4 linked regions of the Saccharomyces cerevisiae S288C genome follow. The gene in region 2 interacts genetically with the main gene of each other region. Each region holds a gene or a part of one and is shown on either strand. Other genes may lie near its edges. The genes, in order: RDS1, RDR1, YLR036C and MAK32.

Region 1 (4,757 bases), on a different chromosome or scaffold from region 2:
GTATCTGCGGATCTGATTTTCATATAGCCGTTGGTAATTGGGGTCCAGTCCCAGAAAATCAAATCCTTGGACATGAAATAATTGGCCGCGTGGTGAAGGTTGGATCCAAGTGCCACACTGGGGTAAAAATCGGTGACCGTGTTGGTGTTGGTGCCCAAGCCTTGGCGTGTTTTGAGTGTGAACGTTGCAAAAGTGACAACGAGCAATACTGTACCAATGACCACGTTTTGACTATGTGGACTCCTTACAAGGACGGCTACATTTCACAAGGAGGCTTTGCCTCCCACGTGAGGCTTCATGAACACTTTGCTATTCAAATACCAGAAAATATTCCAAGTCCGCTAGCCGCTCCATTATTGTGTGGTGGTATTACAGTTTTCTCTCCACTACTAAGAAATGGCTGTGGTCCAGGTAAGAGGGTAGGTATTGTTGGCATCGGTGGTATTGGGCATATGGGGATTCTGTTGGCTAAAGCTATGGGAGCCGAGGTTTATGCGTTTTCGCGAGGCCACTCCAAGCGGGAGGATTCTATGAAACTCGGTGCTGATCACTATATTGCTATGTTGGAGGATAAAGGCTGGACAGAACAATACTCTAACGCTTTGGACCTTCTTGTCGTTTGCTCATCATCTTTGTCGAAAGTTAATTTTGACAGTATCGTTAAGATTATGAAGATTGGAGGCTCCATCGTTTCAATTGCTGCTCCTGAAGTTAATGAAAAGCTTGTTTTAAAACCGTTGGGCCTAATGGGAGTATCAATCTCAAGCAGTGCTATCGGATCTAGGAAGGAAATCGAACAACTATTGAAATTAGTTTCCGAAAAGAATGTCAAAATATGGGTGGAAAAACTTCCGATCAGCGAAGAAGGCGTCAGCCATGCCTTTACAAGGATGGAAAGCGGAGACGTCAAATACAGATTTACTTTGGTCGATTATGATAAGAAATTCCATAAATAGTCTATATACGTAATATTTTTCAGAATCTCTTAAAATGCATGTCAAATCTCGGAATTTATCATGACCCATTACATAACAAGAGAAAAGTGGTTTGCATTGTATGTATACCTTAAACCAATTCTTCGGTAGTCACATGACCTATATATAGGGACATTCATTTCTTGAATAGGATATTTCTTAAACTTAAGGGAAATTTTGATGAAAATTTAGAATCTCTCGACAACAGTGCAGAGCAGTAAGTTTTATTCAATACGAAATGTGTGCAGGGTTTTACCCATTCATGTCGAGTACGTCTACATTTGTTCTGCGATTTAACTTAATACTTAGCCTACTCATATGTATCGAAGCCAAACTATTAAATCTGAAAACTGAATACCCATTAAGTAGGTACATTAATGCAATTTTCGTCCGAAAGGTAGAGTGTTAATCATGCTTTTACTTCGAAATCTAGAGTCCGAGCATGTCTGATGAGGTCCTCTTAAAGCACTTCAATTTTAAAAGAGAAGAGCGCAAATTTTTACAAAGAATGCCTATATTAATATACTGTGCTATCTAAGAGGATGGTTCAATGGTTTGAAATGAGTTGAAAAATAAAGATTTACATAGTAGCGTGTATTCTTCACATTTTTGCATTCGGTAGATTTTCTACTCAAGACCCGTGCAGATCACTATTACACTCATTATTACAAGTCATTGAGAACGAAATTTTGACATCATTACTAATAATGTTACTCATTAATACTTTATTAATGTAAGCGGTAGATAAACAAATGAACATGAAATTGGCTGCTGAAATGCTCTGATGGATTCGATTACAGTAAAAAAACCTCGGTTAAGATTGGTTTGCCTGCAATGCAAAAAGATCAAACGGAAATGTGATAAACTGCGGCCTGCTTGCTCGCGATGCCAACAAAATTCATTACAGTGTGAATATGAAGAGAGAACAGATTTATCTGCCAATGTTGCAGCAAACGACTCTGATGGATTCAATTCCTCTCATAAGCTCAATTTCGAACAGCAACCTGTACTTGAAAGGACTGGGCTTAGATATTCCTTACAAGTGCCTGAAGGTGTCGTTAATGCTACGCTGTCGATATGGAACGCCGAAGATATGCTAGTTATAGTAGGATTAGTTACATTTCTGGATTATCCTTTTGCTGCGCATAGTCTGGCGCAACATGACCAGTATATCAGGGCACTTTGTGCTTCGTTGTACGGCATGGCGCTTGTTGACTTTAGCAATTATGCTAATGGTATTCCTTGTGAAGACACATCAAGAAGTATACTAGGACCATTGTCATTCATAGAAAAGGCCATTTTTAGACGGATAGAACATAGTAAGCAATTTCGAGTTCAGTCTGCCGCCTTAGGGTTATTATACAATGCATTTTCAATGGAAGAAGAAAACTTCTCGACTCTTCTACCGTCACTCATCGCTGAAGTGGAAGACGTGTTGATGCAAAAAAAAGACTGTGAAATACTTTTGAGGTGTTTCTATCAAAATATTTATCCCTTCTATCCTTTTATGGACATTTCACTCTTTGAGAGCGATCTCACTAGTTTGCTTTTACAAGACGACAATAATCGTTGGAAAATTAGTACTGAAGTTAAAAATGTGCGCAAAAAAATAGAAACTTTGTCATTACTTACAATAGTAATGGCCATGGCCTTGATGCATTCAAAATTGGATGCAAATCTTCTTTCAATGGTAAAAGAAAATGCCTCCGAAAGTGCCAGGAAACTTTCTCTTTTATGTCATAAACTATTATGCCTCCTGGATGTATTTCGCTATCCAAATGAGAACACTTTTACTTGCCTTTTATATTTCTACGTTTCAGAGCATTTAGATCCCGAGAGTCCCGATTGTGTACTGAGCCCCACTAACTTGCTTACTCTGCACCATCTTTTAAATTTGTCCATGACCTTAGGTCTTCAATATGAGCCTTCGAAGTACAAACGTTTCAAAGATCCAGAAGTGATAAGGCAGAGACGGATATTATGGTTAGGAGTTCAGTCATTACTTTTTCAAATTTCTCTTGCTGAAGGTGATGCTGGTAAATCAAATAGTGAATATATGGAGGCATATTTAACAGACTTCGAAGAATATATTGAAGCTTCCTCAGAGTATGAAAAAAGTTCTGCGAGTGAATCGAACGTGCAAATGAATGATATTGTTTGGAATAAGTACAAATTTCACGTCATTTTGAGTAAACTAATGTCTGATTGCACTTCAGTTATACAACATCCGCAGCTTTTCCACATTTTAGGAAATATTAAAAGATCTGAAGATTTTATGGCTGAGAACTTTCCTACAAGTTCGATTTACCAACCCCTTCATGAAAAGGAACCAAATGCGATCAAAGTTGGCAAAAGTACGGTTCTCGATGTCATGGATATTCAAAAAACTGAAATATTTCTTACAAATATTGTGGGAAGTATGTGTTTTTTAAACATTTTTGATGTCCTATCGTTACATTTTGAAAAAAAATGTGTTATGCACTGGGAAGAATATGAAAAGAACTATCATTTCCTTACTTTGAAAAGTTTCAATGCATACTTAAAGCTAGCAGGGTTGATATCTGATTATCTCGAGAATAAGTTTCAAGGGAACATTTTAGAGAGTCGCGGTTATATCATAGATAAACAAATATGTTTTATGCTTGTAAGGATCTGGATGTTCCAATGTCGTATTTTGTTAAGGTTTTCATACAAGCAAGAAAGTCAGAAAAAATTGGCCTCTTCCAGTATATCCACTAACGATAATGAAAAAGAAGATGAAATGATTGTCATTTTAGAAAGACTTATTAAACACATTCGTAACCAAATGGCACATTTAGTGGATCTAGCAAAGGGAAAACTTCAAGATAGTTACTTTGGTGCTTACCAAACTGTTCCCATGTTTAGATACGTTGTGTATTTGATCGATGTTGGCGGCTTAGTATCTGTGACAAATGGGTTTTGGGATAAGATTTCCAGTGATGGTGAAATACCGCCAAAAGTACAACAAGCCGTGAGATTGAAATGGGGATTGGACTGCAATAATTCGAGAAGAATCAAACAAAAGTTAATAAGCAGCCAGAGTTTGCAGAGTTTCAATCAAGTTCTGTTGTGCCAGATGGAGGATGCAGTTCTCTCCAGTTCCTTCGCAATAAAAGCCAATACCGCTATGTCCCAAAACACGGCTGAAGAATTTTTCAATATCAGCGAAGAAGAGGCTTTAAATCAACTATTGGAAAACAACAATTTTGATGCCTTCTGGGATTTATTAGGTGAAAATCTGAGCGATATGCCTTCTTTGTGAGAATACGGATATTTGGAAAGGCTAAAAAAAAAAAAACAAGCCAAAAACAAGAAACACTGTTATCCTCCACGTTTTTTCCACTGTTTTAAGACTCGACAAGACGGAAAGATTCCTCACATTTCGCAGTGTTTCTTTTAACCTGCTCGTCAATTTGAAAAAATGAGCATGGTTAGGCAGGCGGAATGTAATAGGTGCGGTGCGTATAAATAAGTATCTCGGCCGTTCCTCTATTGCGCTCGGCCGAGATGTCCTACATGCATAAAATAGATTAAAAAAAGGGATCACGATACTCAAATATGCATATAATAACAACAACACACTTTGCGGTAAATAGAAGGATAATATCGTAATCTTTTGCTGGTTTCGATGATGACTTGAAAAAATTCAATTACTCTTTCGATCATCTAGAAGAAGCATATCCATCGTGCTTAAAATGATTGGGTCCGCGTCCGACTCATCTAGCAAGTTAGGACGCCTCCGATTTCTTTCTGAAACTGCCG
Region 2 (3,837 bases):
GGGAGAGTGCCTTTGTCGGAGTGCTGTGCTCTGCCCAACTAATGACTCAGGCAGGACTTGGACAATCATTAGCGCCGCTTCACATCATCGGTAACAGTTTTGGAACAACGAATGCTGGACAACTTAGTTGGTTTGCTTCCGCATATTCGCTAACTGTTGGTACATTCATTTTAATTGCTGGAAGACTCGGAGATATCTTCGGACACAAGAAATTCTTTGTCCTTGGCTTCTTTTGGTACGCACTTTGGTCCTTACTTGCTGGGTTTAGCGTCTACTCTAATCAGATTTTTTTTGACTGCTGTCGTGCATTTCAAGGCATGGGTCCGGCCTTTTTGTTGCCAAATGCCATTGCGATTCTCGGACGCACATATAAGCCAGGAAGAAGAAAAAACATGGTCTTTAGTCTGTTTGGTGCTTCAGCACCTGGTGGCTTCTTCCTTGGGGCTGTTTTCTCATCCATGTTGGGTCAACTGGCGTGGTGGCCATGGGCTTACTGGATAATGGGTATTGCATGCTTTGTTTTAGCTGTAGCAGGTTACTTTGTAATCCCTCACACCCCCATGCCAAGCCGCGATGCCTCATCTTTCAAGTTGTTGGAACGAATCGATTTTGCAGGGTCAGTTACCGGCGTTGTTGGATTAATTCTCTTTAATTTCGCTTGGAACCAAGGCCCCGTTGTGGGTTGGCAAACTCCATACACATACGCTCTTTTGATAGTTGGTACCTTTTTCTTGGTTATTTTTGCATATATCGAGTCCCGAGCAGCTTTCCCTCTGCTACCATTTGCTGCTCTTTCTAGTGATACTGCTTTTGTACTTAGCTGCATAGCTGCGGGATGGGCCAGCTTTGGTATTTGGATATTCTATACATGGCAGTTCATGGAAGACTCAAGGGGCCAAACCCCCCTTCTTTCTAGTGCACAGTTTTCACCTGTAGCAATCAGTGGATTTTGTGCAGCCGTGACGACAGGTTTCCTTCTAAGCCATACACCCCCAAGCACAGTTATGCTTTTTGCGATGACAGCTTTCACAGTCGGAACTATATTGATTGCTACGGCCCCCGTTCACCAAACGTATTGGGCTCAAACGTTTGTGTCAATCATTGTTATGCCTTGGGGAATGGACATGTCCTTTCCGGCCGCTACAATAATGCTTAGTGACTCGATGCCACACGAACATCAAGGTCTTGCAGCCTCTTTGGTTAATACGGTGGTAAACTATTCGATATCGATAGGTTTGGGTATTGCAGGTACAATTGAATCTAGAGTAAATGACGGAGGTGCCAAGCCTTTGAAAGGATATCGTTGTTCGTGGTACATGGGCATCGGGTTGAGCGGACTTGGCATTTTTGTCGCAGCAACGTATGCATGGAGCACTTTTATGAAGTCTAAAAAAAGGATCTCCGAAAAGCAGCATTTTATAGAATAAGTTCATATATAGAGAAATACTTCATCGTGGTATATAACCCAAACTAATAGAAATAAATATAGTACGATCAAAGTGATAGAGAGGAGCCAGTATATCCCGTATCGTGCGATAAATATGAAAATTACAAGAGGCCATTCTCGAGTGAAAAGATACATTATTTTTTCAAGTAGAAACCTGAAAGAACTTCAGTAAGATAACTTAGCGCACACTTTCCTACTTTAAGCTCACCAAATGGCATCCCCAGGATCGACAGCATTACCACACAAGCGACAAAGAGTCCGAAAGGCTTGCGTGCCCTGTAGGGAACGTAAAAGGAAATGTAATGGCAAATCTCCATGTGAAATGTGCGTTGCCTATGGATATGTATGTCATTATATTGACGGTCGTGTCCCTTCGGCATCACCTCAAGTGCAACAAGTAGGTGAAACATCTCCTGATACGGAGAGCAGACCTTTTGTTCTTCCGGGTATACATAGAAACGAACAACCGCAGCCTATAAATACACAGAACGTTACAAGTCAAAACATTGTAGATCCAACTAAGTCTAGGTACACGATCCAGCACTCTGCAGTTGCTTTCCCCCGCTGTCTTGGTCTCGAACTCCGATCAACTAATCCTCCACGCCTACATTCCTTCGCTTGGCATTGCGGAATCAGACCGGAAGAAAATCCAAACTCACATGTCCTTCTTTCTGATTTAGTTACAAAGGAAGAGTATTACCGTATCTCAAAAGTTTATTTTTCAGTTGTTCACCCGATATTTGATGTTGTTAATCCAGAGCAACTGGCAAAGAATGTTGAAAAATACTGGGATGGCGACGTAAAAACCTTAGAGTATGGGGCTGTTATTGCAGGGGTGATAGCTTTAGGATCATTTTTTATGGGAAGTCTTGGCCATCCCCGAGAGATGGATATAGTACAATATGCCAAAGGGATCCTTGATGACCCGACTTTCAGTCGCATTCCCACGGTGGAGCAAGTCTCCGCATGGGTTTTGCGCACCATTTACCTGCGAGCCACTTCGAGGCCCCATGTAGCATGGTTAGCTAGCTGCGTAACCATCCATCTTTCTGAGGCAATTGGCCTGCATCATGAGATTGACAGAGAGGATATAGCGATATCGAACAACGTTCCACCAAAAAGAACTACTGTAGTGAGCGAACACACTAGAAGATTATTTTGGTGTGCATGGTCAATCAATACCATTCTTTCATATGACTATGGGCGCTCAAGTGTTACGCTGAATAGAATTACTTGCAAGCCAGTTAAGGAGACGGACGGTAATTTTACAGCTCATTTAGTCGCGTTAGCACACCTGATTCCCCAAGACAGCGTGAACGCAAACGCAGCGCAATTGTTGCAGGCCCTGGCGGCCGTTCATGAATCACCAAACGCACATCCGTTTTTGTCGTTGACCAAGGGTGATATATGCCTCTCTTTGTATAGAAGACTTCGTTTGCTGAATCATATTCTTGATAAAAATGTTGTTTTACAAATAATTGATATCGGCAACACTGCGCTATCAGCAGCATACGCTCTTGTAAAACTGGATCAAGCATGGTGGAATGTGTTGAGCACCTCATTCCAGTACGTCTGTGTCCTTCTTGCCATCGACACACCGGAAAGTCTTTCACATGTTGCTACTGCCATGAAAACGTTAGATAATATTACTCAAATTCTCGGTACACGTATTGCTTTTGAAGCACAAAAGACCGCAAAACTGCTTCTTGAGGATTCCATGAAAAAAAAAAGACAAGAAATTCAGCAGCTTGAGCAGGCAACTCACCAGAGATCTAATCTTGAAACTACTCACCTACTCGATATTGACTGGGATGCTTTGCTAGATCCATCAGACACGTTAAACTTTATGTAAAAGAGTATTATAGATTATGTGTATCGAGAAGCAAATTGATTTATAATTAGAGGGAATGGAATTGATGTTTAATACCTGCTTACTATATTTTATCTTTGATAATTGCGCAGAAAGTAATATATCCGGTATTTGAAAATAGGAAATTTAAAGAAATCCCGTCACGCCTGGAATGAGGGGTGAAACCTTGACTGATATTATATTCTTTTCTTGGACATAGTGTCTGAACCAAATGCAAATTGCACTGCATTGCACCAAATTGATGGTTCAAGTTCGATCTATAAAAATACGAGAGAAGGTCTGACTGTTTATGTCAATACTCAAGAGGCTCAGGAACAGTGTTAAAGCTTGGAAGTTCAATTCATTAAAGAAAAGTTGATAACGTCAGGTGGAAAACCGAAAGATAAAAATAAAAGCAAGTCAAGATTTGAAGTATTGCTGAGCGAAATTTTGTTTGAGTGGTCCGGAAATTTTTATACACTTTATTAGTATTTGGTTTAGTGTAGGTGGGAAAGCTTAGAACGTATGTAGAAAAACATCC
Region 3 (2,776 bases), on a different chromosome or scaffold from region 2:
ATCCAAAAGAAACTTCCCTGGGTGTCATGAACCCAATCAATGGCCGTAACTCTTCGTATGGTCAGTTTATAACTCTCAATCACGTTTCCTCGCTCATACCCTAACAGGTACGACTCCTCTGATCATATAGAGGGATTTTAATGTTTCTGATTTGGGAAACATTCAATTTTTCTCCTGACAACCGTTTAGTGTCAAACATTGGATATTGCCCTCGTTCAGAGGGCACAGAATAAAATTTGATTTCTGGTTCATTTTCTTGGCCAAAGATTAATTGAAGTTGTCAAGGCATGCCAAAACTTCCTTTAAAGGTATCATCCCTGTACCGAACATTCCTGTGCTCCTGTATATATCATAATAAGATATAGGTAGTACAAAGGCGCGGATCCGTATACGAGATCTATAAAAAAAGCATTGTTGAAGAAAGGGCAACTGCATATTTGTAGTGGTGAAGAGTATGGGATAGGGGAGCCCAAGTAAGAGAAATATCAGCAGTGAAATAGCTATTCAACAATTTATCTGTTCGTCCGTCGCTTATTAAAAAACGGCATATAAATAGAGCAGCTTTGATTAACTCTTTCCGACAATTTGGCATTGTTATTTACATTCGAGTGAGCTCACATCTTCACTAAAAAGATCTACAAAAGTTCAATCGAAAAAAATGGTCAAACTAACTTCAATTGTTGCTGGTGTCGCTGCTATTGCTGCTGGTGTCGCTGCTGCCCCAGCCACCACTACTTTATCTCCCTCTGACGAAAGAGTTAACCTGGTCGAATTAGGTGTCTACGTCTCAGATATCAGAGCTCATTTGGCTGAATACTATATGTTCCAAGCTGCTCATCCAACTGAAACTTACCCAGTTGAAATTGCTGAAGCTGTTTTCAACTACGGTGATTTCACCACTATGTTGACTGGTATTCCCGCTGATCAAGTCACTAGAGTCATCACTGGTGTCCCATGGTACTCCACCAGATTGAGACCAGCTATCTCCAGCGCTCTATCCAAGGACGGTATCTACACTGCTGTTCCAAACTAAGCCGATGGCCTCACAATTGGTATTTAGCACTGGATTGCTTTACGAACGGATAAAAATAATTATGATTTGACGGTAAGAAATAATTAGATATACATACGTATACAAACATATATATGTATTACAGGTACTTTTAATCAGTTGCACTGTGTTCAAAAAGATATTTTTTAAATGCGGGGGGAGATTCAAGTTTTGTTCTCGCATTTAAATTTCTGCATACAATTTGTACTTACAAGAACCTTATACGATTCCAGTTGAGACACGTACTGATATATTAATGATCATATTAAGAATCTTAATGCTTAAAACTTCTCTTCAATTCAGCATTTGATCTGTGGCAAGTTAATCTTGTTCCATTTAACGTGGATTTGACTTGCCATGATCTTCCCATAAAGCGGTAAATAGCCTTTTTGGTAAAAAATTGAAAGTTTAAAAGTACGGAACAAACTTTCGAGTTTTTCCTCAAAGGCCCTTCACAACACACGAGAACTAAAAGGTAGTTAAGACAGGAACTTGCCGTTAAAGTTTACTTTCTCCTTCAAAGTATAGGAAATAATGAAAGAGGCAGAACTTAGTGCGACAGAAAGCCAAGATGAGATCCCAAAGTCTAATTCCTTATTAATTATAGAAAAATTAACAAAGGCCGTTTGTAGCCTTTATTTTATAAATTGTTTTATGGTGCCATCAGTAGATAATTTGATTGAAAAGTACCCAAAAGCAATCATCATTAAGATCATAGATATGATTCTGGGGGCGGTAACAATTTCCCTCGTTATTATAGTTTTCTTTTTATATCGAAAGAACGGTCATTTTAAAAATGAAAATAAAACAAAGCCAAAGAGATGTTCGAAGGTAGTATGTCCCAGCTGTGCTGCCAGAAAAAAGTATCCTAAATGGTTTCAGCTAAAGTATTTGTTATTGGTATCAATGACTGCTTTCAGCTTCTACTTTTGTACCAAAATTAGGTTTTTTTTTAAAACTGACCAAACTATTAATTTACACCGACTATCACAGCTATTTAGATTGCAGCTAGGCTGGATATGTACTACTGCATTATTATTCTATTTTTACGATGCGTTGATATTACATAGCGGGTTCATTGAAGGGTATAGATGTGTCAATGGAAAGGGAGCGATGTCTGAAGGTAAAACCGGGCAATTAAATTGAGGATTTTACCTAATATGTATTATTTTGGAATTAGCTTGAAATGTGAAGGTATCATTTTACTGTTGCATATTGGATAATTGGTAAAGTTACGCAAAGTATTCAATATCATCTTCTTGCATTACTCGACCATTGAGAATAATTTACTATATAGTTTGAATACGAGATTACACCTCGACAAAAGTAGTTCTATTATTTGCACGTAACAATTATCAGAAAATGGGTGAACTTCGTATTAATTGTTGGGATTTCGTTGTTGATATTAGGTATACAAAATATACTAGAAGTTCTCCTCAACAGTCTTGGAATTCACGAAAGGGAGTTGATAGTTCTGATAATAAAATCACTTTGTCTTCCTTTCTTTTATACTTTGTCATTCATTATTCTACTACATTATCAATTTGTTAGAATGAAACTCTAAAACATCATCTGTTTAGTAGTATTTGCGTTACTAGTCAATTATGATCGTTGACTCTTATTCTAACAGCTAGTAATATTACCCCCGTTACGTATGAAAGTGTTGGAATAAAAATCCACTATCGTCTATCAACTAATAGTTATATTATCAATATATTATCATAT
Region 4 (3,465 bases), on a different chromosome or scaffold from region 2:
ATCACTATTAATGGCCACTTGTTCCAAAAAGTATATATTATGAAGCGTATTATTATTTTATACTCAGATAGCTGGTGCGATACGTTCGCAGATTTTGAGCGCAATGCAATGAGTATGACGGAAAGGTTCACTCATAATTTCAATAACTCAAGTTGTTTGAATTTAAAATACATTCCCCGTTAGATAAGCTATAAACATTGTTACTTGCGCTTGCGGCACATGTAATGTAGTTTCTTTCTTTTTCCAAGAAAAAAGAAAGCCCTGTAGGGGGCTCGAACCCCTAACCTTATGATTAAGAGTCATACGCGCTACCGATTGCGCCAACAAGGCTCTTTAATTATGAAAAATTACGTTTAATAAGTGACTTAAAAATATAAATACTGTTACTAAAATGTGAACTAAAACCTCAATATTATTTTCTGATCACTTGATGAATAGCTGGTAATTGTTGGATTCCATTGTTGGTAAAGGCTATAATTTTACGTATATAGAATTGTTGGAATAAAAATCCACTATCGTCTATCAACTATAGTTATATTATCAATATATTATCATATACGGTGTTAAGATGATGACATAAGTTATGAGAAGCTGTCATCGAAGTTAGAGGAAGCTGAAGTGCAAGGATTGATAATGTAATAGGATAATGAAACATATAAAACGGAATGAGGAATAATCGTAATATTAGTATGTAGAAATATAGATTCCATTTTGAGGATTCCTATATCCTCGAGGAGAACTTCTAGTATATTCTGTATACATAATATTACTGCCTTTATCAATAATGGAATCCCAACAACTATCTGAAAATTCACGTGATTCTCATGTGAGTACATCAGAAAACAACCACCTAACAACCGTGTTTGAATGTTGATCTGAAAACAAAAATTAATCTCTCGTACTTATTATGGATATTGTATTTTCTCAAAATTCCAAATGATTTTCTTGTTAGATGGTATTCACGGTCATCGGAATCTCAGTTCAATATCACCAATTTGCTTATAAGGTTTATGCAAGATAACATGTTTGGTCTTGTTCCCAAGTATAACTTAAGAAAAAAAAATTACAATCCAAGAAAGGTAATACAGAATTCATAGCAATAATGGGGTCCATTTTCAATAGATAATGTACCTGGAAGAAAAGGGCTGACTAGGAAACAAAAAGAAAAACAAAACTATGATACTCCATCAAACATAGGGAAATTTACTCGAATATGAAAAGTACAAATCTGTCAAAAGCACATCGTATATTGTCTTGGTTCCGCTTTTATTCAGAAGAATTACTGAAATGAAGAGGAATGACGTAATAAACAAACAACGATTCTGATATCAGAAAGACATCTTGAATATTCCTATGTAGTAATTAACTATCCCAGTACTTACAAACATAACTTGACGATGCACGCTACGATTTTTGTGTGTTTAAACTTTTGTTGGTTGGGACTCAAGAAGATCTTCTCTGAGATAATTGTAATTAAATGTACTTTAGGAGTGTTCATGTATAATTTGCCTCTGCAAAAACTTAATAATGTATTTTAAAACTTGCATGTTGCTCTGTGAATCTGAATGTATGATAATGCTACGATTACTCTAGGGAACTTCCTTTTTACATTTAAAATTTCCGAGATCCTCAGCTGACAAATAAATGTCATATCAAGACAATAAACGGTAGTGCTAAAGTAATTGCATATTAAACAGGCGCGACTAAAGCTTTCATCCCTTCTATTATTGCATAACCTGGCTATACATGAAAACACTTCTCACATTTGATTTAAGAAGTTTACTGTTCTAAGAAAATAAAGAACGTGATAATGATGAATGAAGAGGATTCTACAGAAACGAAAAGCCTAGTCATAACTAATGGCATGTTTATCATAGACGACATCGAGCGTAGTAAATATAATATTCACTATAAGAATGTCCCAGGAGGCGGAGGGACTTTTGCCATTTTGGGTGCATGCATAATATCTTCCGGCAATGTCACATCCAAAGGTTTGAAGTGGATAGTGGACAGAGGCTCTGACTTTCCAAAGGAAGTTATAAGGGAAATAGACTCATGGGGTACTGATGTGAGGTTTCGAGATGACTTTAGCAGATTAACTACCAAAGGGTTGAATTATTACGAGGGAAGTGATGATTTGAGAAAGTTCAAGTTTTTGACGCCGAAGAAGCAGATTAACGTCGATGACTGGATTTCCACATTTGGGCAGAAGATAATTGATGAAATGCATGCGTTTCATTTGCTATGTTCTGGGTCTAGATGCTTAGACATAATAAACGATCTGCTACGGGTGAAAAGTTCAAAGGGCACAAAACCAATCGTGATTTGGGAGCCATTCCCAGATCTTTGCGACTTTGATCATCAAAATGACATTAAAAGTGTAATGCAGAGGAACGATGTTACGGTAATATTATCTCCAAATGCCGAAGAATCAAGTCGCTTATTTGGTTTAAGTAGCAAGGAACCGACTAGTTTGGAAGAATGTCTAGCATTAGCGCATCGTTTCGATGATTTCATGGATGAAAACAATATGTGTATTCTACGATGCGGTGCCCTCGGAAGCATATCGGTAAGTGAGAAGTTTAAGAACGGACGAACCTATGACCATTTCCCCGCCTACCATTTCAAAACTCAGTCTAAAGTACTAGATCCTACTGGCGGGGGAAACTCGTTCCTTGGCGGCTTTGCAGTTTCTTATGCCCTAACGAAAAGCTTAGATATTGCTAGTATATGTGGGAACATCGCTGCAGGCGCAATAATTGAACAATTCGGAATACCGAGGTACGATCCAATTGCTAAAACCTGGAACGGAATCACATTCTTGGATAGACTGAAATTTTACCTTTCACAGTCCGGTCTTCAATATAATATAAACGATCTTTACAAAAGTCTAACACGATGATCATATCAGCTTGTTCATTGCTCTTATTTTTCTGCAAAAATATACATATATATATATAAGTAAGTGTTATATACTACTTGAGATTAGGCGTTGTAACAAGATTCAAAAAATTCGAACTCGAACTGTGAAACCTTCACAAATATGCTTTCCACTTCTTCGACGGGAAACTTGTCAACTTCAGCCTTTAGAAATTCACACCAAGTTTGAAAATGCTCACCATCATGTAAATCAATCCATTTTTGATATTTCCAATGCAACCCTGGGGCTCTAGGAGTATCACGAGCCCATCTCCAATAGAGTTCCTCAGCAACCCATAAGCTGGTTACTAAGGATGGCCATGTAATTGAGGCGTCCTTTCTCAGCTCATCTAAGAAATTAATATACGCATCAACGCCGGGGATCGCTTTATTGTCAAAATTATCTCTTTCTTCCTTGGTGAGGGATGGTGCCAATAATTCTAAGCAGTCATGAAAGTATGAGTTTTCATCATTAGAAAAAAATCCAATCTTTTTGGCTAAGGTTATTAAAGCGTGAGTAGTTGGTGCTAAAGAAGTCGTCTTACA

The links.
Region 1: mutations in RDR1 (region 2) and RDS1 together harm fitness more than expected from each alone (negative genetic interaction), as found in Saccharomyces cerevisiae (one large-scale study listed by BioGRID).
Region 3: mutations in RDR1 (region 2) and YLR036C together harm fitness more than expected from each alone (negative genetic interaction), as found in Saccharomyces cerevisiae (one large-scale study listed by BioGRID).
Region 4: mutations in RDR1 (region 2) and MAK32 together harm fitness more than expected from each alone (negative genetic interaction), as found in Saccharomyces cerevisiae (one large-scale study listed by BioGRID).

The regions. Positions count from the first base shown.
Region 1 is NC_001135.5:309,200-313,956, forward strand, and holds RDS1 (Rds1p), read left to right. Parts: upstream 1-1,758; coding exon 1,759-4,257; downstream 4,258-4,757. Other genes in the region: ADH7 (NADP-dependent alcohol dehydrogenase), read left to right, coding at 1-956; AAD3 (putative aryl-alcohol dehydrogenase), read left to right, coding at 4,691-4,757. UniProt on the Saccharomyces cerevisiae protein: Zinc cluster transcription factor involved in resistance to cycloheximide.
Region 2 is NC_001147.6:1,049,632-1,053,468, forward strand, and holds RDR1 (Rdr1p), read left to right. Parts: upstream 1-1,658; coding exon 1,659-3,299; downstream 3,300-3,837. Other genes in the region: AMF1 (Amf1p), read left to right, coding at 1-1,427. UniProt on the Saccharomyces cerevisiae protein: Transcriptional repressor of multidrug resistance genes, such as PDR5. Required for growth on non-fermentable carbon sources like lactate or glycerol.
Region 3 is NC_001144.5:220,942-223,717, reverse strand, and holds YLR036C (uncharacterized protein), read left to right. Parts: upstream 1-1,585; coding exon 1,586-2,197; downstream 2,198-2,776. Other genes in the region: seripauperin PAU23, read left to right, coding at 659-1,033.
Region 4 is NC_001135.5:151,027-154,491, forward strand, and holds MAK32 (Mak32p), read left to right. Parts: upstream 1-1,810; coding exon 1,811-2,902; downstream 2,903-3,465. Other genes in the region: PET18 (Pet18p), read right to left, coding at 2,986-3,465. UniProt on the Saccharomyces cerevisiae protein: Necessary for the structural stability of L-A double-stranded RNA-containing particles. Necessary for growth at 37 degrees Celsius as well as for maintenance of the killer plasmid.